Arabidopsis thaliana: one gene and its partners. The protein of the gene in region 1 interacts with the protein of each later gene in a pairwise test. Each region holds a gene or a part of one and is shown in the gene's direction. Other genes may lie near its edges.

Region 1 (5,949 bases):
TATTTAACTAAACAATGTGAGAGGGTGAAATTGATATTTGCAGCAAGACGATGGATGAATATGTTTGTCAACTGCACAAGTTTGCAGAGAGACTCTCCAAGCTCATGTGTGAGAATCTTGGTCTTGATCAGGAAGACATAATGAATGCCTTTTCTGGTCCAAAAGGTCCAGCTTTTGGAACAAAAGTGGCTAAATACCCAGAATGCCCACGTCCTGAGCTTATGAGAGGGCTGAGAGAACATACGGATGCTGGGGGAATCATATTACTCCTGCAGGATGATCAAGTGCCTGGTCTTGAGTTCTTTAAAGATGGGAAGTGGGTTCCTATACCGCCATCCAAGAACAATACCATTTTTGTCAATACCGGTGATCAACTAGAGATACTGAGTAATGGGAGGTACAAGAGTGTTGTTCACCGTGTAATGACAGTGAAGCATGGAAGTAGACTGTCGATTGCTACGTTTTACAATCCGGCTGGTGATGCCATAATATCTCCAGCTCCAAAGCTCTTGTATCCAAGTGGCTACCGTTTTCAAGACTACCTAAAGCTTTATTCAACTACCAAGTTTGGAGACAAAGGCCCCAGACTTGAGACCATGAAGAAAATGGGAAATGCGGATTCAGCCTAGGATGCATCTGGAATTTGACGCTTCTGTACTCACATCATAAAAACTTTGTCTTCTTCTTGTGTTTCCTTATAATTTAAATAACCAGCCATGTCAGAATCTTGCTGATTCAGCTATACTACTTCACTCTTCTTTCTTCACTTCCACTTGAAAAGTTCCAAAGCCAAACTGAAGCAGTCTCATCAAGCTCTGTGTCGAACTTGAGATTAGACAAAGAGCTTGTAATCTAAGCTCTAAGATTGACAGTCAATTTCATGATTTATAAGATGTAATTCAACTCTTAACGTAATCCACAACTCCGCCATCATCTCTTTCCATATTCTCTCTGATTTGACTCATTTCCTTCCCAATTCCTAGAATCAAACAAATAGCATTTCTATATCAGCATCTAAAACTGAAAGCTAAGTGTGTATTGACTCAAAATTCTTCTCCAATCGCAATAAAATCGAGATGAGAAAAATTCATCCATATGTTTTGGTTCACACATTCTATCGAGCAGCTTGTGTGCAATCCCAATCCTCTGAACCAAAACAAAAGCTTATCTCTTGACCATTACCCGACATTTCACTCATCAGCCAACGACAAATCCTGCTCCGAAACCTCTAATGCTTGGAAAAGAAGAAAATTCCGATTTCCGAACAATGGAACTTACTCCATTTTGCATTCTCTGTCGAAAGTAACATACGTTCAATGCAAATGACCCAAAGTCGTCGGTGCCACGTGGATAGTTCTCACTGGTTGATGCATTCGGTAACTCGCAGAATGGAAGAATATTAACACAAAAGGCATCTCGCGTATCCACGTGTCCCGTTCAAGATTCCAAATTCTAAACCAAAAGCCGGTCCGACCAGATTAACAAGTTCTCTTTATTACATCACAACCCAAAACTTGTTCAAAACCTAACTTTTCATTGCTAAACATATTTTATTCTGACATTCACATGTTAACTTTAATCCAATATCTAATTCTTTTTTCTTAAAACCACCGTTGTCGAAAAATCCAAATCAGCAAAATCAGTGATTAACCGGACCGGACCAAACCGAACATCGTTTTCTGTAAATAGCAGTAACTGGTTTCACACATCCCATCATCTCTAACCACCGACCTCATAAGTCATTAAGACAAAAACAGAGACACTCCTCTCACTCTCATTATTTCATTTTCTTTCCATAAAAAGCACGAATCTTCAAGAACAAAGAGAGAGAGAGAGAGAAAATTTAATGGCGTTAGCGAATAACTTAACGGCGATACTCAACTTACTAGCGTTACTCTGTTCCATACCAATAACGGCGTCAGGTATATGGCTAGCTTCAAAGCCAGACAACGAGTGTGTCAATCTCCTCCGTTGGCCCGTTGTCGTCCTCGGCGTTCTCATCCTCGTCGTCTCCGCCACAGGCTTCATCGGCGCCTACAAGTAAGAATCAAAGAACTTCAAGACTTTGAAAACATAGACACAAATTGAATCATAAAGATGTAAACTTTGAGCTCTCATATTTCAGGTACAAGGAAACTCTACTGGCGGTTTACTTGTGCTGTATGGCGATATTGATCGGACTTTTGCTGGTGGTTCTTATATTTGCATTCGTCGTGACCCGGCCCGATGGATCGTATCGGGTTCCGGGTAGAGGTTATAAAGAGTATAGGCTTGAAGGGTTCTCGAATTGGCTTAAGGAGAACGTTGTGGATTCCAAGAACTGGGGAAGGCTAAGGGCTTGTTTGGCTGATACTAATGTTTGTCCTAAACTCAACCAAGAATTCATCACCGCCGATCAGTTCTTCTCCTCCTCTAAGATCACTCCTCTCCAGGCATGTTCTTTCTTCTTTTATTCTCTTTTATAAAAAGAACCCCGAAATTTCTAGTTTCCGGTTTAGGTTTGGTTTAGAGGTAAATCTAGACTAAATATCGGTTATGCAACTATGCCAACGAATCATTGTGGGTTTAATTAGATATTATTAGATGATTAATGGAGATAAGATACGAAGTAAAGAGAATGTTTTGTAAAATCTCTAGATTATGTGAGACCTACGGTTTGTTCTTGCCATAGAAAGATAGGTTATTTTTTCTTTCAAAAAGTAAAGTATGTGGTTTTAAATCAAAAAGTTAAAAAATTTCTCTTTAGCTTTTGTGAAGATGTCCAAAAGAGAATTGTTCTTATTCTCTATATTCTTTTTTTTTGTTTTGCAGCTTTAAGTTATTTCGTTTTGGATTTCCTCATCTTTGAAAAAACTAAAAAAATATTTTCTGACTTAATTAATCTTATGTTTTCTAGTGTTGGAGAGAAACCTACATTAGCTTTCTTAACGTTTCGCAGTTAGTGCCATTTTGTGGTAAAACTCATAGATTAGGCATATGTAATCACCATTATTGAACACATATTTATTCCTAGTAGACTGGTGTAGAAGTTGCTGGAGACCAAGTCCACAAGATTATATAGTAAGATAGTCAGATTTCAAAATTATACACTATCATAAGGACCCACCCATGCACCCACAATATGGTACATGATAAACTATGTTTTATCTGTGTATTAATTATATTTTTCCTTTGTCACTATCTCACTCATAAAATTCAATGATCCCATTCACTTTAGATAGTGTTTTTCGTGATCACAACTCAAACTTGACAAAATTTCCTACTTTTTCTATTTAATTTTATTAATTAAAATCACTCTTAAAATTCATTGTCATGTCTTTTATGTCTTTTAAGCTTTAAACATGGAGAGATTAAGGGTGATTTAAATAATTTTATTCCTAAAACTTCTATAGCAAGTTGTCATCCTAGTCCATTGTCACTGTAACAAGATTGGAACCACTAATAATTAAATAAGCCTAGATGCTGAGGTCTCGACTGAATTTTAAATCTTTTAGTCATTAGACATTATTAAATATTGGACCAATGATTTGATTCAATAATTACGATCACAAGTCTTTGTCTCCATCATGAAACATAATAGATAATTATATCCCTCCCATGTTGCCCCACTCACATTATAATTTTTCTTATTGGATAAATTAGGACTCAAGAAAAAATAAGTTTATTTCTAAGAAAGAGTTATACAATTTCTCGTCCTCGAGACAGAACCAAAATTTACTCATAAGTAAAAGAAGATTATTCTGTGATAAGATTCAACATGTTTTTTCATTTTTTTTATGTACTTTCATACCAAGCAAGCAATTTTTTAGGTTTCTTGTAGTCGTTTTATTTTTATAGCTTTCAGACTAAAACTAGTGTTTCATTGTTTTAGGTCTTGACTCTTGAACTCTTGATTGTTTGTGTTTGCCTTTAGTATATACTTTTTTTTTCTCCACATGAACCCATAATATTAACCATGTTAAGCAAAATGAAATTTTTGTTGTAAACACAAAGGGCAGACGCAAATGGTAGCGTTTGTGTTTACAATGTGTAAATATTTTTTACCAATAAAAAAAAAGTGTAAATATCTTTAAGACTATGATTATCATATTTGAAAACATGGTTAAGCATATATTTGGTCAAATCTAATTATGACAATTTCTTGAACATTTGTTGTTTTACAGTCCGGCTGCTGCAAACCACCAACCGCATGTGGCTACAACTTTGTGAACCCAACACTGTGGCTAAATCCAACCAATATGGCTGCAGACGCAGACTGTTACTTATGGAGCAATGACCAAAGCCAGCTTTGTTACAATTGCAACTCATGCAAAGCTGGTTTATTGGGAAACCTTAGAAAAGAATGGCGTAAAGCAAATCTCATACTTATCATCACAGTCGTTGTTCTCATATGGGTTTATGTTATTGCTTGTAGCGCGTTTAGGAATGCTCAGACTGAGGATCTCTTCCGCAAATACAAACAAGGTTGGGTCTAAAATGTGTTTGTGTCTATAAATTTGTTTGTAGTTTGTTGAGATTGGAGTTTTCGGAAATAGCTCGTCATATTATGATTTCTTTGTGTGTGGAAAAGGTTTTTTTCTTTTTATGGATTTTGTTTCTATGTTTATCAGTTTATGTTCGACAAAATGGCACTTATCTATGTAAACAAACAACTGACCCTAATTGGAAAACTGATTGTTGTCATAGAGTTTTCTCAGTTTCTTCTATTAAGAAAAACTTAACCGTTGGTTAAAACGTAATTATCAACAAAGACTTCTCTTTTGGTCTGTGACGTTGATTCCAACGATAAGAACAAAACCTAATCTTTGTTTTCTTTTGTCAACAATAGTACTATCACCTTTGTTCTTAACTATTTTTTTGGGAACTTAAAATTGACAACACCGGAATTAAAATGTTTAATACTATCAAAATTATATGAAACTAAGCTGTCTTTTAGCTATAGTTTAATTCATTTCTGACCTCTAAAATAATATTATCCGGAGATTATTGTAGTTTCGTAACGTGGTTGATGAAACTACTAGGTGTTTTCTTAATTAGACCACGATTTTAACATTACGTTACACTAATACTCTATTGCATTTTTGGTAGTTTTCATAACAATGATTCCATGCGGCTTAGTCAAACCGAAATCATATTATTTGTAAATTCAATTCTGATATAATTTTTCTATTTTGTACCAAACGTAAACCGAAACATAACCGAAACCGAACCAAAACTTCATTTGCGTAATGTAGTTTCCTACGTTGTTGTATCTATAAATAGTTTGTTTGTCCAGCATCCATTTCATAATTCCTCATTTCCCGGATCTCTCCCATCTAAAAATAACCCGACCCATTTACGCGACCCAAACCGGATCAACCCGCAATGGATAAGCCAAGCTTCGTAATCCAATCCAAAGAAGCAGAATCCGCCGCGAAACAACTCGGCGTTTCCGTCATTCAGCTCCTCCCGTCGCTAGTCAAACCAGCACAATCCTACGCTCGAACTCCGATTTCGAAATTCAACGTCGCAGTCGTCGGACTCGGATCATCAGGTCGGATCTTCTTAGGCGTCAATGTCGAATTCCCAAATCTCCCTCTCCACCACTCAATCCACGCCGAACAGTTCCTCGTCACCAATCTCACACTCAACGGTGAACGTCATCTCAATTTCTTCGCCGTCTCCGCCGCACCATGTGGCCATTGCCGTCAATTCCTCCAAGAAATTCGCGACGCACCTGAAATCAAAATCCTTATCACCGATCCAAACAACTCCGCCGATTCCGATTCCGCCGCCGATTCAGACGGATTCTTACGTCTCGGAAGCTTCTTGCCACACAGATTCGGTCCCGACGATCTTCTCGGGAAAGATCATCCTCTTCTTCTCGAATCTCACGATAACCATCTCAAAATCTCAGATCTGGATTCGATTTGTAACGGAAACACCGATTCATCCGCCGATTTGAAACAA
Region 2 (5,710 bases), on another chromosome or scaffold:
TATGTGATCCTCTCAACAACGAGCGATACATCGTCCCTCGAGGTAATGGTGGTCCTATAAAAAGGTTCTGCAGAGCATTTAGCTGGATTTGTAGCGCGTAATTGATCGACATTACAAAAATTGTCTCCTTTCTTTATGCATATATTATATATTTATGTTTTTTTGTATCATTGTATTGATCCATATTTCAAGTACTTATGTATCCTTCTTCCATAATTTTATTATACCTAATACTCCCTCATTTTCAAATTATATTTGTTTAAAGTTTTTCAGACAAATTAAAATAATTACAATTAATTTCTGTTTTTCTTTTTATTAATATGCTATGATTTTTTATTCGTGAAGACATTAAAAAAAACTAAATTTTTAACCAAACATCTACATTGAAAAACATAACCAAAACTTATTATGAAACAAATTTTAAGTTATAAACGCCAATAAAGTTGAAACAATATAGTTTAAAAATAAAATAACTAAAATATATGATGTTAATGTGATTTAGTTAGGCATTAAGTTTCCATAATTTGTATAGCTAATTTTTTTTGAACATAATGTTAAATTATATTCAAAAATATATATATATATATATATATATATATATATCATGTTTACAACAAGTGCAACTGTTTTAGAAAGAAAGCTGAGAATATAGAGTTGTAAAAAAGAATTATGTAGGCATTTGAATTTAATAATTTTATGGAAAAAACTGAAGATGTTAAACAAATATGGATTTTATTTTTAAAATAAATACTTTCAATCAAATTATATTAGTCTTGAATTTATAGATTTTATGAAAAAAAAGTTTATTGTGTTTTCATGGAGGAAAATGACGATAAAGACAATATGAAAGAAAATTATGTTTACAAATGTACATATTTACCTGGGAGGAGTCATATTAAATGATCTAATCCGCCTTAGTGTATTGTATGTATCTAGAACCTCTTACTTATTCATAAACAAAAGTACATATTTTCCTTACGTTTTCTTATAAACAAATGTACATAATTTCCTACTTATATATATATATATATGTATTCAACTCAAAAATTATAGACAAAACAAAAGGATTACGTATTCTTTTTGTTCCTGATGAATCTTTCACCATATTTAAGAAAAACTATAGGTTTGAAAGAAAGAATGTACCCCGATGATCGCCAAAATATTTAAATCACATGAAAAATAACAATGTGATTTAGTTAGGCATTGAGTTTTTAGGATACTTTTGGTGGAATTGTTATTTTTCATTTTTAAAAAAGGAAAGATTTTTAGTGTCCAATGATAAATTCAATGATCTTAAAAAATTATGTACAGTGAAAGGTAATCATTCCTTGTTAACGGTATGTATTCTTTACCATGTCATGTGCATATTACGATTTTCGTAACAAAAACGTGGTCACGAATTTTAAGAAGAAAATGCCACTAAGATATGTGTTGTACAGGCTAATATTTTAAATATGAGCAATTAGTGTTACTATATTTATGCATAGCATGCAAATAGTTGTTTAGATGACCAAAACAGTATAATACATATAAGTTGTCCAGAAATCAATCGATATATTTGCCAAGAAAAAGAAACGAAAACAAGTTGACCTCCTAATAGTTAGTTACTTCTAAAATCAGCTAAAACTATTTTTACTATATAATCAACACAACATTCTCACCAAATCATCTTGTTTCAAAACCACAACAAAAAGAAAAAAGAAAGAAAAAAAACATTACAATTTAAGATTTTCAGACTCACAATACTTACGACATGGCAACTCAAGTGTCAAAGAAAATCTGCAGTGTATTGATGATTGTAATTTTATTTGCAATGATGTTTTCAGCTCATTCCAACTCGATAGATGTGTGTGTCAAAAATTGTGTCGTGAACCAGTGCATGAAAGCATCAAAGAAAGCGACTCCAGCCATATGTGCCAACCCTTGCAAGATTATATGTGATCCTCTCAACAACGAGCGATACATCGTCCCTCGAGGTAATGGTGGTCCTATAAAAAGGTTCTGCAGAGCATTTAGCTGGATTTGTACCGCTTAATTGATCCACATTACAAAAAATTTGTCTCCTTTCTCTATGCATAAGTTATATATTTATGATTTTTTGTATCAATGTATCGATCAATATTTCAAGTATTTATGTATCCTTCTTCCATAATTTTTTATCTTTAACAATATTTACTTGTATACGGAAAATTTGTTAAAAATCTAATTATTTATATTTATATATGTAACAACTGAAAATTGGTAACTTGTATAAGCATAATTTATGCTGCATAAACATATTTGCATTTAACTACACGGAAACTTACTAAAGAGAAAAAGAGAATTCTCGCATATAAAACAGAACCGTTACTCTGTTTCTCTTGGCGCTTTAATTAGGGTTTCTTATTTAGCTTTTGCATTGCCACATTCCTAAAGGTTTCATCTTTTGGATCCTTCTCTGACTCACTTCTTAAAACCCATCAATGGAGGAAGGAAGTCTGTGGCGTCAATGGACTATGTTCAGATCTCTGTTATCGATTCTTCAATGGTGGGGTTTTAACGTTACTGTTATCATCATGAACAAATGGATCTTTCAGGTTTAAAAAGTCTCTTACTTTTATCATTAAAGACTTAGCCTTTCGTTTGTTTTATCTGATCTGCGTTTGAAATTTGGTACCTTTCCTTGTTTGCAGAAACTGGATTTCAAGTTTCCATTATCAGTTTCATGTGTTCATTTCATATGTTCGTCGATTGGAGCATACATTGTGATTAAAGTCTTAAAGCTTAAACCTTTGATTGTGGTTGATCCAGAAGATAGGTGGAGGAGGATTTTTCCAATGTCATTTGTGTTCTGTATCAACATTGTGTTGGGGAATATTAGTCTTAGATACATTCCTGTCTCTTTTATGCAGACTATCAAATCTTTAACTCCTGCAACAACAGGTTTAGGGTTTTTTTAAGATTGAGAATTTTTCAAAATAAAGTGATTTTTTTTTATTGTTCTGATTGGTTTTTGTGTAATGGTTTTTTGAGTGCAGTTGTGTTACAGTGGTTGGTATGGAGGAAATATTTTGATTGGCGTATTTGGGCGTCATTGGTGCCTATTGTTGGAGGGATTCTTCTTACTTCTATTACAGAACTTAGCTTTAATGTGTTTGGATTCTGTGCTGCTTTGTTTGGATGTTTAGCTACCTCTACAAAGACCATTCTTGCAGAATCTCTTCTTCATGGATACAAATTTGACAGGTCAATGTTCTGTTTCCTGAGGTTTTGATCTTCAGTTTCACATGATAGGTGTTGAATGTGTGAAACTTACATTTGGTTTCAATGACATGCCATGCTCTCATAGTCCAATACTTGATTTGCTTTTTCATATTTCATGGAACTGAGTGTTTGTGTCCTCCTCATTTTCATGTCTCTCTATGTAGCATAAACACGGTATACTATATGGCGCCTTTCGCGACCATGATTCTCGGGTTACCTGCATTTTTACTAGAAAGGAATGGAATTTTGGATTGGTTTGAAGCACATCCATCTCCATGGTCGGCTCTCATAATTCTTTTCAACTCAGGTGTTCTAGCTTTCTGTCTTAACTTCTCCATCTTCTATGTCATTCAATCCACAACAGCAGTCACATTCAATGTAGCTGGAAACCTTAAGGTAAATGAACAAATCCCAAACCACATAACATTAATCTTTATATTCTAGTTTCAATAACTCAGATGTTTGATGGATGGTATGTGATTTGCAGGTTGCAGTAGCTGTGTTTGTTTCATGGATGATATTTCGAAACCCGATATCACCGATGAATGCTGTTGGCTGCGGAATCACACTTGTGGGCTGCACCTTTTACGGATATGTAAGACACATGCTTTCTCAGCAACAACCCGGAACTCCTAGGACTCCTCGTACCCCAAGGAACAAGATGGAACTGATCCCTCTTGTTAATGATAAACTCGAGAGTAAAATTTGAATATCATCGGTAAGTCACTAGACTATTGAACGCACACAAAGAAGTTAGATTTGATCTTGAACATCCACAAGAGAGTTATAGTTTAACTATATGTTTATTTTTACTCAAACTAGAGAAGTTAGAGAAGTGCCATTTTATTTGTTTCCATTGTATTAAATTATCTATCCTCATCAAACCAACTCAGAGATGACCACAAAGATACTTAAAGCAGGCCCATTTTTGTATTCAATTATGGTAGTGCTTTCACTTACCTCAGCTTTTTAATTTTTCCTTCCAATTTTGTTTGTGCCATAGTGCCATGTTCTAACATCAGAGACTTAATACATGACAAAATGGTGCAAGTTTGGGAATCTTTGAAAGAAGATGAAAATAGAAAGTTAATTTGACAATATATAAGAAATGATTATTCATTTTCCCGCCTTGATACATGAAAGAGCTTAAGACGGTGTTTAAGGGAAACGAATATTTTAGCTCTCAAAACAGCTCATCAAATTCGTTGCTTTAGCTTCTCAAAAGTAAAAAATGGGCTTTTTCAAGTGGGCCTCAACTTATGTTGCTGAATTTACCGCCATATCCTTCCCTTACAAAAAATCAATTTTCAAAAAATCTTCATGCTACAGTAGTCTGAAACCAGGTCAAAGGAGTTAAAGAGAAAAGGGCAAAACAGTCAAACAGCATAAAAAGATGTCTGTGTCTTGGAGATCGCAAAGCTACCGTTTTCTGTTCACTCTGTACAACACACTTGTCTCCTTCTTCCTCTCTTCTCTTCTCTCTCTCCATTTCAAAAAGGGTGAAACTTTTCTTCTCTTTCTAGAAGAAGAAAACCAGAGATACAGAGAGATTCTCTCTCTACCAAACCCCTGGAAAAATCTCCAGATTCATCTTCCATAGACCAAACTAAACTCTGTTCACTGTACTCTCTGTCATTGTCCTGTAAGAGAAATTGAAAACCCTAGGAGATTTTGAATTTCGTAAAACCCTAAACACAAAAATGAAAATCCCAGAAAAACCCATCTTCTTAATCTTCGTCTCTTTGATCCTAGCTTCGAGCTTAACCTTCACAGCGACAGCGAAATCAACAATCGAGCCTTGCTCAAGCAACGACACTTGCAACGCTTTACTCGGCTACACACTCTACACCGACCTCAAAGTCTCAGAAGTCGCATCTCTCTTCCAAGTAGACCCAATCTCTATCCTTTTAGCTAACGCCATCGATATCTCTTACCCAGACGTCGAAAACCATATCCTTCCTTCGAAGCTCTTCCTCAAAATCCCAATCACTTGCTCCTGCGTCGACGGAATCAGAAAATCTGTCTCTACCCATTACAAAACCCGACCTTCTGACAATCTAGGATCGATTGCTGACTCTGTTTACGGAGGCTTGGTCTCTGCTGAGCAGATCCAGGAAGCTAACTCGGTGAATGACCCGTCGCTGCTTGATGTTGGGACTAGTCTTGTTATCCCCTTGCCTTGTGCTTGTTTCAATGGCACCGACAATTCTTTGCCGGCTGTTTATTTGTCGTATGTTGTGAAGGAGATTGATACATTGGTCGGAATCGCGAGGAGGTATTCGACTACTATTACTGATTTGATGAATGTGAATGCTATGGGAGCTCCTGATGTTAGTTCTGGAGATATTCTCGCTGTTCCTTTGTCAGGTCAGGTCTACACAATCTTTAAAAGTTGTATCTTCAGATGTTTGTATAATGGGAAGTAGTTTCTATTGTTAGTTGTTGGTTGCCAAATTGGGATTTTTGG
Region 3 (6,707 bases), on another chromosome or scaffold:
ACTTTGATCACTAGAAGTAAACCAACAACCTTTAACTCTTCGGCCATCAGCTCACTATTAGTGTTCTGAACTCCTCTCTTCACTGCTATCTTGGCAAGCTCACATTTCTCCCAAAGCTTGACAATTGCAACAGCTAGTCCCTGCAAATTTCTATTCCTACCTGGAAGTCTCGAAAAGGTAAGCCAGAATAAGTTAACAATCTTTTCGTGTCTAAATGAAGCTAAAATCAGGTGAAACCAAGCTTACCTAAAGCAAAATGACAAGGGAGTGGTCTACCAAGTCTCCTTATTGTGGTCATTTCATCATCAGTTAGTTTTGGACTGACGCCATATGGAAGAAGGCGAAATGGTCTCCTGTAGTCAGGTACTACGGCTGGCAGAAGATCACCATCTACGGGAAGGGGATCATATGCCCACCAGTCAGTAAATCTTGGACCCAATCCTTCCAACAAACGGTCTGCTTCTTCTACAAGCTGTACTTCCCCGGGTAATTGAAACCTAACCTTATCCGGAGAACCAACGCCTTGCGTCAACATCGGTTTAACCATTTTATTAGTAATACTCGGGGCAGAAGATTCTGCAATACTCTGTTTCTCTCTACTATCAACCACTCCTTGATCCATAGATGATGCTCCTGAAGCAGCTTCATGTGCCAAATCCCGATCAGATACAAAATAAGGGTACTGATAATTTACCCCTCTATACAACAATATTTTGCTTCCAGACCTCCAAATGACTAAGCCTCCAGTTTTTGTCTGTAAAATCAACCAGGACAAGTATGAATTTCCGTCTGTGCCATTTGTTGACATGTTCATAGATCTTTCATTGAGAGTCAAATGTTACTATCAAATCCCTATCATGAAATCAAAAGTAGAGAGGCAAACAAACCTCCAAGACGTCATGGGTCCGTTTCATGTTCATTCTGGAAATATCTTCGCAGAAAATCTTCACAACCTCCGTCGTCCTCCATCTCTCGTGAATCCCATTCACAATCCCTTCCGTAATCCCAGCCTTGCCAATCTTCAGCTTCTTCGTCAACCTAATCCCCACCGTCCTCAACCGCCTCAGCTCCGCCGGCGGCAATGTCAATTCCGCCAACGACGGAACCTTCTCCTCCTTCTTCCTCTCCATCTCCGTTTCCTTCTTCCACACTCTCTTCAACTCATGGTACCTTGAAATGGCAGTACCCGACCCGGGCTTCGGAACCGGGTAACTAGGCGTGCTCCAGCTTGTGTCAATCGTGTGCCCGACCCGGTGAATCGGAAGCTGCTTAGGCAACGGAACGAATATCTCTCCTGGGGAATTCTTACCAGATTCTTCTCCCGTGATTCTCCTAGTCGGTGAATCATGCTTCTCTTCCACGAATCCAAGGCTACGAAGCTTCTCAGCGATTCTCTGGATAGCCGATTGGGGAAGAGTCTTTCGACCGGAAGCAGAACTACAGAAGATGCCGGAGTTCGCTCGACTGACATTGCGTCGCGAAACTAGGGTGTTGGGAACAAGGAATGGCGGGAAAATTCGATCGGGAAAGGTTTTGGCAAGTATCAATGGTTGCTGGTGAAACAGTGGAAGCAACATTTCTCCAAGCAAACTGGATTACGCAAGCGGAGCTATATGCAGCAGCAGCATATCCATAGAGGTCACATGATTGTCACGTGATGGTTAGAATATTTAAACATGAACTATTTGAAGACCCCAGTAGGCCCATATTGAGTTATTGGGCTACTAGCCTATCCCATTTTGGGTTATTCGGGTCGGGTCGGATCTTTCCGGTTTATCAGATCAGAAGCTCGATTCTGTTAAGCTTTAATGGCGGAAAAATCCAAATTTCCTCGAAAGAAGTATAACCTGATTCGCAGAGATTGTGAAGATTGGAGTCATGGGTATATTAAGTTACGCCGTCGCCGGCGGTGGATTTGCAGTAATCGGCGCGTGGGAGTCACTGGACTCATCGAACCTGGATCCGAATTCATCTTCTGGTACTGCTGATTCATCTTCCCCTATGGCTCAGATCAGAGCTTCGCCGCCAAAATCTGTTGGATCATCTTCCATCCCCGTAGCTTTGCTTTCGTCTCTGTTTATTGCGAACTCGTTTTTCTCCTTCTTCAGCTCAATCGGATCTCGCGATCGGGTCGGGTCAATGATCCAGTTACAGATCGTGGCAGTGGCAGTACTATTCCTATATTACGCCATTCTAACATATCTGGTCAACTCCAAAAACGCTGTCTTTGTTGCACTTCCGTCTTCGATTACAACTTTATTGCTTCTCTTTGGCTTCATTGAGGAGTTCTTAATGTTCTACCTGCAAAAGAAAGATGTTTCTGGAATCGAGAATCGTTATTACGATCTCATGCTCGTGCCCATTGCCATCTGCGTCTTCTCCACGGTTTTTGAGCTCAAATCCGACTCTAGCACGCATCGGTTTGCGAAATTAGGTCGTGGGATCGGTCTGATTCTGCAAGGAACATGGTTTCTGCAAATGGGTGTATCGTTTTTTACCGGTTTGATCACTAATAACTGTACGTTTCACGAGAAGAGCAGAGGCAATTTCACGATCAAGTGCAAAGGACACGGTGATTATCACCGAGCAAAAGCTATAGCTACTCTTCAATTTAACTGTCATTTGGCTCTAATGGTAGTTGTGGCTACTGGTTTGTTCTCTGTCATTGCTAACAAGAATGGTTATCTCCGTCAAGATCATTCTAAATATCGACCTCTCGGAGCTGAGTTGGAGAATTTAAGTACTTTCACACTTGACTCTGATGAAGAAGACGAGGTTCGAGAAGAGAGCAACGTAGCTAAAGAAGTTGGTCTCAATGGAAACAGCTCACATGATTAAAGGTATAAATCAAAGTTTCAGACTTTTTTTTTTTTGTCTGTTTTGAATCTGTCCATTTTAGAAATGTTGTTGGTCAATGGGAGGATTAATGATGATATGTAATCAAACACACGAGATAATAATAATGTTGAATCTTTTGCATTTGATATTATAAGATACTGTTTCTTATGAATAAAAATCTTACAGTTGTCTATCTCTTTTGGTTTGCTAGTTAGTTCTAAAGCTACTACTACAGTTAGATCATTCGTGGAATCTTATGGCAAACGGTTATCTAAGTCGACTGTGTCAAAGGAATCAAAGTTTTTCTTCTTTCATTTAGGGGCTTCTTCTTTTTCATCGCCTTGATCACTGCTACTCTTGAAAAACTTGCATAGAAATATGTAGACTACAAAGCTTATTGTACTTGTAAGAGCAAGAAGCCAGTAGTATTTGTCAAGCCGAGCTTCCGACATATCATCTGCAAACCAGTTTTGTCGGTCACCTGTTGAGCTCGAGTAAGCCTCGACAATTGAGATCAGTGCGGCGCTCACAAAGCTTCCAACACCAAAAACACTTGTGTAGAGAGCAAATCCCATTGTTCTCATTCTTACAGGAACCTCACTGTAGAAAAACTCTTGCATCCCAACGACTGTGAATATATCTGAGATTCCCAAGAGGATGTACTGAGGCAGCAGCCAGAAGATGCTCAGTGGGACGGTTTCTGGATCATAATCAGGTAAAGTCTTCATCTTTTGGCTTATGGCTAGTCTTTTCCTTTCGACTATTGCCGCAATAACAATGGCAATGATGGATAGAAACATTCCGACTCCCATTCTCTCCATCACAGAGATACCTGTACCGTTTTTCTTGATTCTCTTGGTAATAGGTATCAAAATCTTATCATATAATGGCATAAGCAGGATGATTGATAATGTGATCGTGCTTTGCAGGGTTGCAGGTGGGATTTTGAAGTTGGACCCAATGTTTCTCTTCATAGTCACACCTTGTTTGGTGAAAAAGGTTGCTGGTAGCTGGAAGATAACCGCGAACATGAGAAGCATCATCCATATGGGGAAAAGGCGAATCACTAACTTAACATTATCAATTCCAGAGAAAACCGTTTTCGAGCTCTCGTCATCTTCCAATCCTTTGGAGGTTGTTGAAGGAGTCTCAATGTCTTCGGTCTCACATTTACAGAGAGGCCTCTCCTCTAGCCTACATAAACAGGTAATCATTAGTCGCTAAAAAACTTAAAAGACTAATTAGTTTCATGAGATATCGTGGTTTTTCCGAACTTACTCAAGCTCCATAGCATCCAAATCTTTCTCATCTGCAAGTGTATATATGCTTCTCTGCTTCACTACTCTCCCTTTAATGAATTTAAGAATCTTCTCAAAAGGTGTAGTAGTTGTTTTCTTCTTCAGACGGGCGCCCGGAGCATAAACATAAATTCCACAACCCGACATGAACACCAAAATCGACAGGAATATCACGATACCAGGAATGGCGAAACCGAGAACCCAACCAAAAGTGTCTTGAATATAAGCCATGACTGTGACACCCATAAGGCTGCCGGTGCAGACGCCAAAGTACCACAATTGGAAAAACTGAGTCTTTCGGGTAGCTTTCGCGTCCTTTTGATCACCCGAGGAAAGATCGAAATTCTTATCGAGGTCGTGGTCGAGTTGGTCTGCACCAAAGGCTTGAAGAGAAGGGTTTAAGACGCCTAAACCGATTGAGACAAGACATAGTGAAGAGTAGAGAAAGTAAGAAGAGATAGTCTTAGTAGCTGAACGTGACCCAGCAAATGCCGTCCATGTCAATCCCACTAGTCCCTTCAAAGAAAAAACAGAAATAATATATTAAAAACTACTAACAAAAGAAGATTTTCGAGTTTCCACTAAGCTAGCTTTTTCGCCTATAAGATCCGATAAGACCCATTATAAGCACTATATCAACATTCTAATCAAAATTCCATTATCAACCCAACTATTAAAGGGATCCATATAAACTCCATTAGTGGTAAAAGAAAATTTCTAATCGGACGGTGACCAAGTATCTAATTTCTTAAAGACTCTTTAAGATGGTCTACTTGATCTATTCCTTAACTCGGAAAATGACCCAACACCTAACTTATAACTTCCTTAGATATATCGTCTAAACCAGTTTTTCTTGCACAAGTTAATACCCATTATCAGTTTATCACTTAATGACTGCTTAATCAAGCATATACATAGACATCTAATAGAAGGCCAAAACATTATCAAAATATAACCAATTCTATTAACAACGCGATTATAAAATAAGATAAATAAAAGCAACATTCCCTCACCGCCTGACCGTTATTGTCTGACGGTGGAGGAGAGTTTCAGCACTTAGTTAACACTTGATTCTACTTACCACAAAGTAGACGGAAGAAGAAGCAAGGATGGTGAAGAATCTGTCCCAATAAGTATCAGCCAAAGGAGCAGAGAAGAGAGGCAACATAGAAGTGAAACCAGCCCAAGTGTTAACAGTTTTGGCTGCTCTTGAATTACTCATCTTCACTACATCTGTTAGATATGTCACTAAGTTTGATGCAACTCCTTTGAATGCATATCTCTCCATTCCCGCAATCACTATACACACAGAAAAACAAAAGTTCAATCTTTAGTTTCAGTGAAGTTTTGAATCTTTGAAACAAACGAACAAAAAGAAGAGAGGAAATCATTTACCTATGAGAAGGGCACATGACTTGCTAAGTCCTCTTGTCTTCTGTTCTAAATCCATTAGAAACTGTCTTTATGTGTTTATTGTCTATGTGTGTAGAGAGAAGAGGGGAGAGAAATTATTTGGTTATTTATATGTAAGAGAGTGGAGATCAAGGTGATTGTTGATGATTTGTGAGATTGGTTTTTTCGTATTTATAAAGGTTTAAAATCTTCTGAGTAACAAAAAAAAAAAGTTGAAAATCGTTAGCTTTTCGGTGTTATGAGAATTAACTTCCACTAATGGCAGAGATTAATTTCCATATTTGGAATTCTATATCTTTGTCTCCACACCTATGTGGGTGGATTTATGTATTTATTAAATAGTTTTTCCTTCTTTTCTTACCATGCTTCTTCTGTTTCTTCAAAAGATGTGTTTTCCAATTTTATACGAATTAAACTAAAACTGTATATAGCCAAATATACACTTCAAATTGATTTTTATTCTCTTCGTTTGTAAAATACGGATGAGTTAAAAAGTGAAAATTAAACATTTAACGAAGAAAGGTACAAGCTAGTAAAAGTTTTTTTTACCAAATGATGGAGTTTTATGTAGGGGAAAAAAACACTCATTGTAGATGTCAACCAAAATAAACTAACTAATTGAATTCTTAAAGAAATATGTGAATTGGAAAGTTTCATGAAAATGGTTTAAATGAAACCTGGTTTAAGTAGATTAGGAAATTCAATAGGTTTGTATGCACCCTAGTTTGAATTATATCTTTAATAACCGTTGCGCAAACCATTTTTTTTTGCAGATTTGTTCTATTATAATTAAACACTATTAAGTCTATTATATATCTCTTACCCTTTAGTTTTTTTATAGGTCAACACCCTTTTAATTAAATTGAGGTTTAACGTATTTTACAAAAGAAAGAAAAAGAGGAAATTTTTTATAAATATGTCGATAAAATGCAAAATCATGCAGTATATATCACTAAAATGGACCATCTAGCTCTTAGCTTTCTATCTGTTAGCTACATTGAATTCATCCTTCACCCTTGTACAATATGAAAAAGAAATAACTATAATTAAAGTTATATGTTCCTTTCATTTACATTTGGCGTATTTGATACTCTTTTATATACATAATTTTCGCATTCCCTTTTTTGCGATTCTTTTTCCTTATACAAGGTTGTTCTT
Region 4 (5,792 bases), on another chromosome or scaffold:
TTTCTTGTACATTATCTTATAGTTTCAGTGTTTACATACAAAGTTCCTGATTCTGTTCTGCTGAATTTTCTTTCAGATACATGTGACCGAATAGTAGAAAGCCTTTGCAAATGCAAGAGCCAACAACTTTGGCGTCTGCCATCTGCACAAGCATCCGATTTAATTGAAAATGATAACCATGGAGTTGATTTGGATATGAGGATAGCCAGTGTTCTTCAAAGCACAGGACACCATTATGATGGTGGGTTTTGGACTGATTTTGTGAAGCCTGAGACACCGGAAAACAAAAGGCATGTGGCAATTGTTACAACAGCTAGTCTTCCTTGGATGACCGGAACAGCTGTAAATCCGCTATTCAGAGCGGCGTATTTGGCAAAAGCTGCAAAACAGAGTGTTACTCTCGTGGTTCCTTGGCTCTGCGAATCTGATCAAGAACTAGTGTATCCAAACAATCTCACCTTCAGCTCACCTGAAGAACAAGAGAGTTATATACGTAAATGGTTGGAGGAAAGGATTGGTTTCAAGGCTGATTTTAAAATCTCCTTTTACCCAGGAAAGGTATGTTGATCATTTTGGATTCTATTTTTTTATTTCTATGGCTGCCAATATGTTTTTCAATTATTTCTATAGAGTAACTGAGCTTTCTGGTTTCTTATAGTTTTCAAAAGAAAGGCGCAGCATATTTCCTGCTGGTGACACTTCTCAATTTATATCGTCAAAAGATGCTGACATTGCTATACTTGAAGAACCTGAACATCTCAACTGGTATTATCACGGCAAGCGTTGGACTGATAAATTCAACCATGTTGTTGGAATTGTCCACACAAACTACTTAGAGTACATCAAGAGGGAGAAGAATGGAGCTCTTCAAGCATTTTTTGTGAACCATGTAAACAATTGGGTCACACGAGCGTATTGTGACAAGGTGAATCATCTACTCTATTTCTTCAAGCCTTGTTCTGTTGCTTGAATCCTCTTTACTAATAAATAGTACACGAGCTAATACATATTTTCTACTCATGAAAGGTTCTTCGCCTCTCTGCGGCAACACAAGATTTACCAAAGTCTGTTGTATGCAATGTCCATGGTGTCAATCCCAAGTTCCTTATGATTGGGGAGAAAATTGCTGAAGAGAGATCCCGTGGTGAACAAGCTTTCTCAAAAGGTGCATACTTCTTAGGAAAAATGGTGTGGGCTAAAGGATACAGAGAACTAATAGATCTGATGGCTAAACACAAAAGCGAACTTGGGAGCTTCAATCTAGATGTATATGGGAACGGTGAAGATGCAGTCGAGGTCCAACGTGCAGCAAAGAAACATGACTTGAATCTCAATTTCCTCAAAGGAAGGGACCACGCTGACGATGCTCTTCACAAGTAAGTTCTGAAAAATGTGCTTTGCTTTTAAAAACTTGTTAAGGTTTCGCTCTTTGATTGTCTTTCCCACATCTTGATGAAGGTACAAAGTGTTCATAAACCCCAGCATCAGCGATGTTCTATGCACAGCAACCGCAGAAGCACTAGCCATGGGGAAGTTTGTGGTGTGTGCAGATCACCCTTCAAACGAATTCTTTAGATCATTCCCGAACTGCTTAACTTACAAAACATCCGAAGACTTTGTGTCCAAAGTGCAAGAAGCAATGACGAAAGAGCCACTACCTCTCACTCCTGAACAAATGTACAATCTCTCTTGGGAAGCAGCAACACAGAGGTTCATGGAGTATTCAGATCTCGATAAGATCTTAAACAATGGAGAGGGAGGAAGGAAGATGCGAAAATCAAGATCGGTTCCGAGCTTTAACGAGGTGGTCGATGGAGGATTGGCATTCTCACACTATGTTCTAACAGGGAACGATTTCTTGAGACTATGCACTGGAGCAACACCAAGAACAAAAGACTATGATAATCAACATTGCAAGGATCTGAATCTCGTACCACCTCACGTTCACAAGCCAATCTTCGGCTGGTAGATATTTCCCCATAGGCCACCCAGTTATTGCTTGTGACTTATTAAACCACTACGTTATTGTTATCCTTTTTTACTTTTACAGTTGTTGTAGGTCGTTTGTTTGTTAATAGAAAGGGTAGATTATTATTAGATGTCTTTTTGTAAAATATCAATACGAAGCGTATTTGATGATATATAAAATAACTATATTGGCAAAAATATGAACTATGAAGGCCGTTTTCGTGATTTTGTTCTTTTGTTTCACGAATTCAAGCTATTCCCCTTTTTTTACGCCAAAGATGAAAAGAACCCTCCCTATTAATATCGCTATTGTCTAAAATTTCGAAAACTACTTTAATCACGACTAGACCAAATATATGTCGACCGATACCGATAGAGAAATTAGTGCCCCGTCTAATACTTTCTCTCCAAAATTACAGAATATTTAGAGTAGTTAATCAACGTAACACGACAAGGAAAATGATGGAAAAAGTGGTGGTTTCTGCTTTGGCAACTAGTGTTAGGTCACTTACGTCCTCTTTTTCTGTATTGGAAATTACGTGGATAAATTGAACTTTCTTTCAATCTCTATCAAATTATTAATCCACACATGTATACGCAATATATGATCATTAAATAAATAAAAAGTTAGATTGGTCTATAAATTCGTATCACAAATGGACTAATAATTTGTAGTGAAAACTCATTTACCCATGTGACAGCTCCAAATTTCTGAACTTTTTATTTTGAGGGATGGTACAAATCCGAGTTCCATGATCATGGAAAAATCAAATTTAACAAACACAAATTACTGTTTGAAACAAGCAAGTTACTATATATGTAGTTTGATTTCACACTAGAGAATCTACTGATAATGAATTTTTTATATATCGTGAAGCTGAAAGTGAAATTATAACTAGCTAGTTGAATTGCTTATTATGGTTGGAGGGGAGCCGATGAAAAATTCTTCGACCACACATAAAGTCACCTTTCTAAAGAACACTTGCACCGACCACATCAATCACGCATTCATAAATTTTCAACATTTATATAAATGTAGGAAAAAAACAAAATGAATTATAGAGAATACAAAATGACAGTTAACAATAAATATATCACAACATAAATTTTATGTAAGAAGGTTAGCATGATTTTTAAAAATATATTGTTGTGATTAAATGGAAAATAAAAATGTAGAATACTTGTTTCTTTAAAAGGGTCTTTGTTTTGATTACAATTTTTTTTTTTAAAGAATACCTTTAATATTAGGGAGAATTATTATAGTTTATAATATGAGAATACCTTTATTTCCCTATCACACTCCTATAAATCCTACATATAATTAGCCCATTATTTAGAGCCATCACTAAAACAAAAAATCTCTTAACAACTTCTCCACCTTCTCCCCACCACCACCACTCACCGTCGGAGAAAGAAAAAAAACAACCACCATGAAAGACTGTGAAAACCACGGCCACTCTCGCCGGAAACTAATAAGGCGAATATTTTGGTCAATAATCTTCGTCCTCTTCATCATCTTCCTAACAATCCTCCTCATTTGGGCAATTCTCCAACCATCAAAGCCACGCTTCATCCTCCAAGACGCCACCGTCTACGCCTTCAACGTCTCCGGCAATCCACCGAACCTCCTCACCTCCAACTTCCAAATCACTCTCTCTTCCCGGAACCCTAACAACAAAATCGGCATTTACTACGACCGGCTTGACGTCTACGCTACTTACCGGAGCCAACAAATCACTTTCCCAACATCAATCCCTCCCACGTATCAGGGACACAAAGATGTCGACATCTGGTCGCCGTTTGTTTACGGAACCTCCGTTCCCATCGCTCCTTTTAACGGCGTTAGTCTTGACACCGATAAAGATAACGGTGTCGTTTTGTTGATCATTCGTGCTGATGGTAGAGTGAGGTGGAAGGTTGGGACTTTTATCACCGGGAAGTATCATCTTCATGTGAAGTGTCCAGCATATATAAACTTCGGTAACAAAGCTAACGGAGTTATCGTCGGAGACAACGCCGTTAAGTATACGTTTACCACTAGTTGTAGTGTTAGTGTGTGAAACGGCGACGAAGAAAAATAAGGTAACTAAACGTCTTCGTTAAGTAATCTGTCTTAGTGATGTGAATTGTACATTTTGCTTATACGAATAGCAAATATTACAGATTCGTGATGTTGTAACGAATTTTAAGAATTTCAATATGTATACTTTTTTTTTATTATAGTTGAATTCTAAATTCTATTATAAGTTGTGATGATTTTTTCGAAGTATTTTTTTTGCTGATTTTGATGCATCTTCTGATCCTGTCAAATCGACTTTTGATGACTTTTTCTTATGTATATGGTAAAGTTTGATGGCGATGGAGATTAATTTTTAGTTGAATAGATTAGGCTCGTTAATGTTTTGTGGACGTTGTGTGATGGTGTCATTGTCCATTTGTCTCCATCTTTTTATTAAATTAAATAGAGAGATGCATTTTATATAGAGACTATTCTACAACAAATAAGACATTTCAAAAAGATAAATTTTGTGGATTGGATTATTTTTAGTCACATCTATGGATTTATAGATAAGTTCTATTTGTTGGTGTCTGGCTTAAAAAAATGTTTTTCGTGCACTTTAAAAGCCCATTCTCCTAGAGTTTTGCTACATTGAAATAAAGTTAATACATAACGTTACTTACAAGAATTTAGAATCCGTGGATATTATCGTGGATATTATCGTGGATATTCTTGGATTACCGTGAATATTCTTGGATCTTGAATTGTGAAAATCAGAATCCGGTCTAGAGACTTATTTCTCGTTTATCTGCATTTCCATTCATTTAACTTATAATGTGGTCCATGAAATTGACCAAAGAAATTAAAGGGGAATATGGTCCTTTAAAACTTATTATCTAAGTTGGGAATGAAAATAATATAAGAAACGTTAGACGAAAAAAGTCAGTCACCAATAAGACTTTGGATATCAGTCACATGATATATAGTAGTATATAAGCAACGTTCCATACTTCTATCTCAAATAAAGTTGAGAAACCTAACTTTGGATTTCCTTTGATTTTCAATAAAAATAAAGTGGTTATGAACGTGCTGTGTGTGCTGTTCACACAAAGGCACTAGAACGTCCGAGTAATGCTCAGCCAAACTCACATAATTTTCTGAAAAATGGCCTTTGCTACCTAACTTAAAAATAATTTACAACAACGGAAACTTTAGATAGTTGATCATTGATCAATAGTGCGTGCATCAGTGCATGCATATTTGGAATGAATCAATATTGATTACATATGCAGTGGATCTATCTCAAAATAATACTGATCAACTATTTGTAATATAATTCTTCATTCAAACAAATTAAGTGTTTTAAAAATGTTAATAATTATGATCTCTATCTTAGACATTTTGAGTTTATGTGTTCATGACTATATTTAGTGTAGTTCCATGAAACTAGGGTTTTAGTAGCGTCTTTATGTTCGTCTACTAACGGGCTACACTATTTTATGTTGGGCCGAATTTGGGATAAGCCTTCTACAATTTGGGATATCACTCATCACATTTTACATATTCCTACTTTCTTCCTTAGCATTGAGAAACAAACTTGAAAATAACGCCTACTTAAACCTAGTTTTATGGAGCTGCACACTAAATAAATTGTTTCTTTTTAGTAACAATAGTGGCTAGACGTTTAATTATTAAACCTTTACATTTGAAATGCTTCTCGATTGCTGAAAAAGCTCTGACCACATTCAAAACGTAACGGCACTTCTTTTTCAAAAAATTAAACCGTTGGTTAAGTATAACCGATCTTGGTTATCTATCAATAACA

The links.
Region 2: the proteins of TET2 (region 1) and GONST5 interact in a protein complementation assay, tested with the Arabidopsis thaliana proteins (one large-scale study listed by BioGRID).
Region 3: the proteins of TET2 (region 1) and AT3G01360 interact in a protein complementation assay, tested with the Arabidopsis thaliana proteins (one large-scale study listed by BioGRID).
Region 4: the proteins of TET2 (region 1) and NHL1 interact in a protein complementation assay, tested with the Arabidopsis thaliana proteins (one large-scale study listed by BioGRID).

The regions. Positions count from the first base shown.
Region 1 is NC_003071.7:8,470,919-8,476,867, reverse strand, and holds TET2 (tetraspanin2), read left to right. Parts: upstream 1-1,714; 5' UTR 1,715-1,846; coding exon 1,847-2,040; intron 2,041-2,125; coding exon 2,126-2,432; exon of another isoform or gene 2,433-3,263; intron 3,264-4,163; coding exon 4,164-4,475; 3' UTR 4,476-4,734; downstream 4,735-5,949. Other genes in the region: ACO1 (ACC oxidase 1), read left to right, coding at 44-629; CDA1 (cytidine deaminase 1), read left to right, coding at 5,365-5,949. UniProt on the Arabidopsis thaliana protein: May be involved in the regulation of cell differentiation.
Region 2 is NC_003070.9:7,675,746-7,681,455, forward strand, and holds GONST5 (golgi nucleotide sugar transporter 5), read left to right. Parts: upstream 1-2,462; coding exon 2,463-2,576; intron 2,577-2,672; coding exon 2,673-2,922; intron 2,923-3,017; coding exon 3,018-3,225; intron 3,226-3,407; coding exon 3,408-3,639; intron 3,640-3,730; coding exon 3,731-3,952; 3' UTR 3,953-4,098; downstream 4,099-5,710. Other genes in the region: AT1G21864 (Plant thionin family protein), read left to right, coding at 1-101; AT1G21866 (Plant thionin family protein), read left to right, coding at 1,754-2,035; LYM1 (lysm domain GPI-anchored protein 1 precursor), read left to right, coding at 4,944-5,610. UniProt on the Arabidopsis thaliana protein: GDP-mannose transporter that may be involved in the import of GDP-mannose from the cytoplasm into the Golgi lumen.
Region 3 is NC_003074.8:133,903-140,609, reverse strand, and holds AT3G01360 (plant viral-response family protein (DUF716)), read left to right. Parts: upstream 1-1,878; coding exon 1,879-2,838; 3' UTR 2,839-2,840; exon of another isoform or gene 2,841-3,016; intron 3,017-3,049; 3' UTR 3,050-3,149; coding exon of another isoform or gene 3,150-4,032; 3' UTR 4,033-4,116; downstream 4,117-6,707. Other genes in the region: CFM2 (CRM family member 2), read right to left, coding at 30-160, 247-754, 888-1,577; AT3G01350 (Major facilitator superfamily protein), read right to left, coding at 3,150-4,032, 4,117-4,652, 5,218-5,435, 5,532-5,586.
Region 4 is NC_003074.8:3,677,267-3,683,058, reverse strand, and holds NHL1 (NDR1/HIN1-like 1), read left to right. Parts: upstream 1-3,115; 5' UTR 3,116-3,398; coding exon 3,399-4,028; 3' UTR 4,029-4,464; downstream 4,465-5,792. Other genes in the region: DGD1 (UDP-Glycosyltransferase superfamily protein), read left to right, coding at 77-558, 659-925, 1,027-1,376, 1,459-1,969. UniProt on the Arabidopsis thaliana protein: May play a role in plant immunity.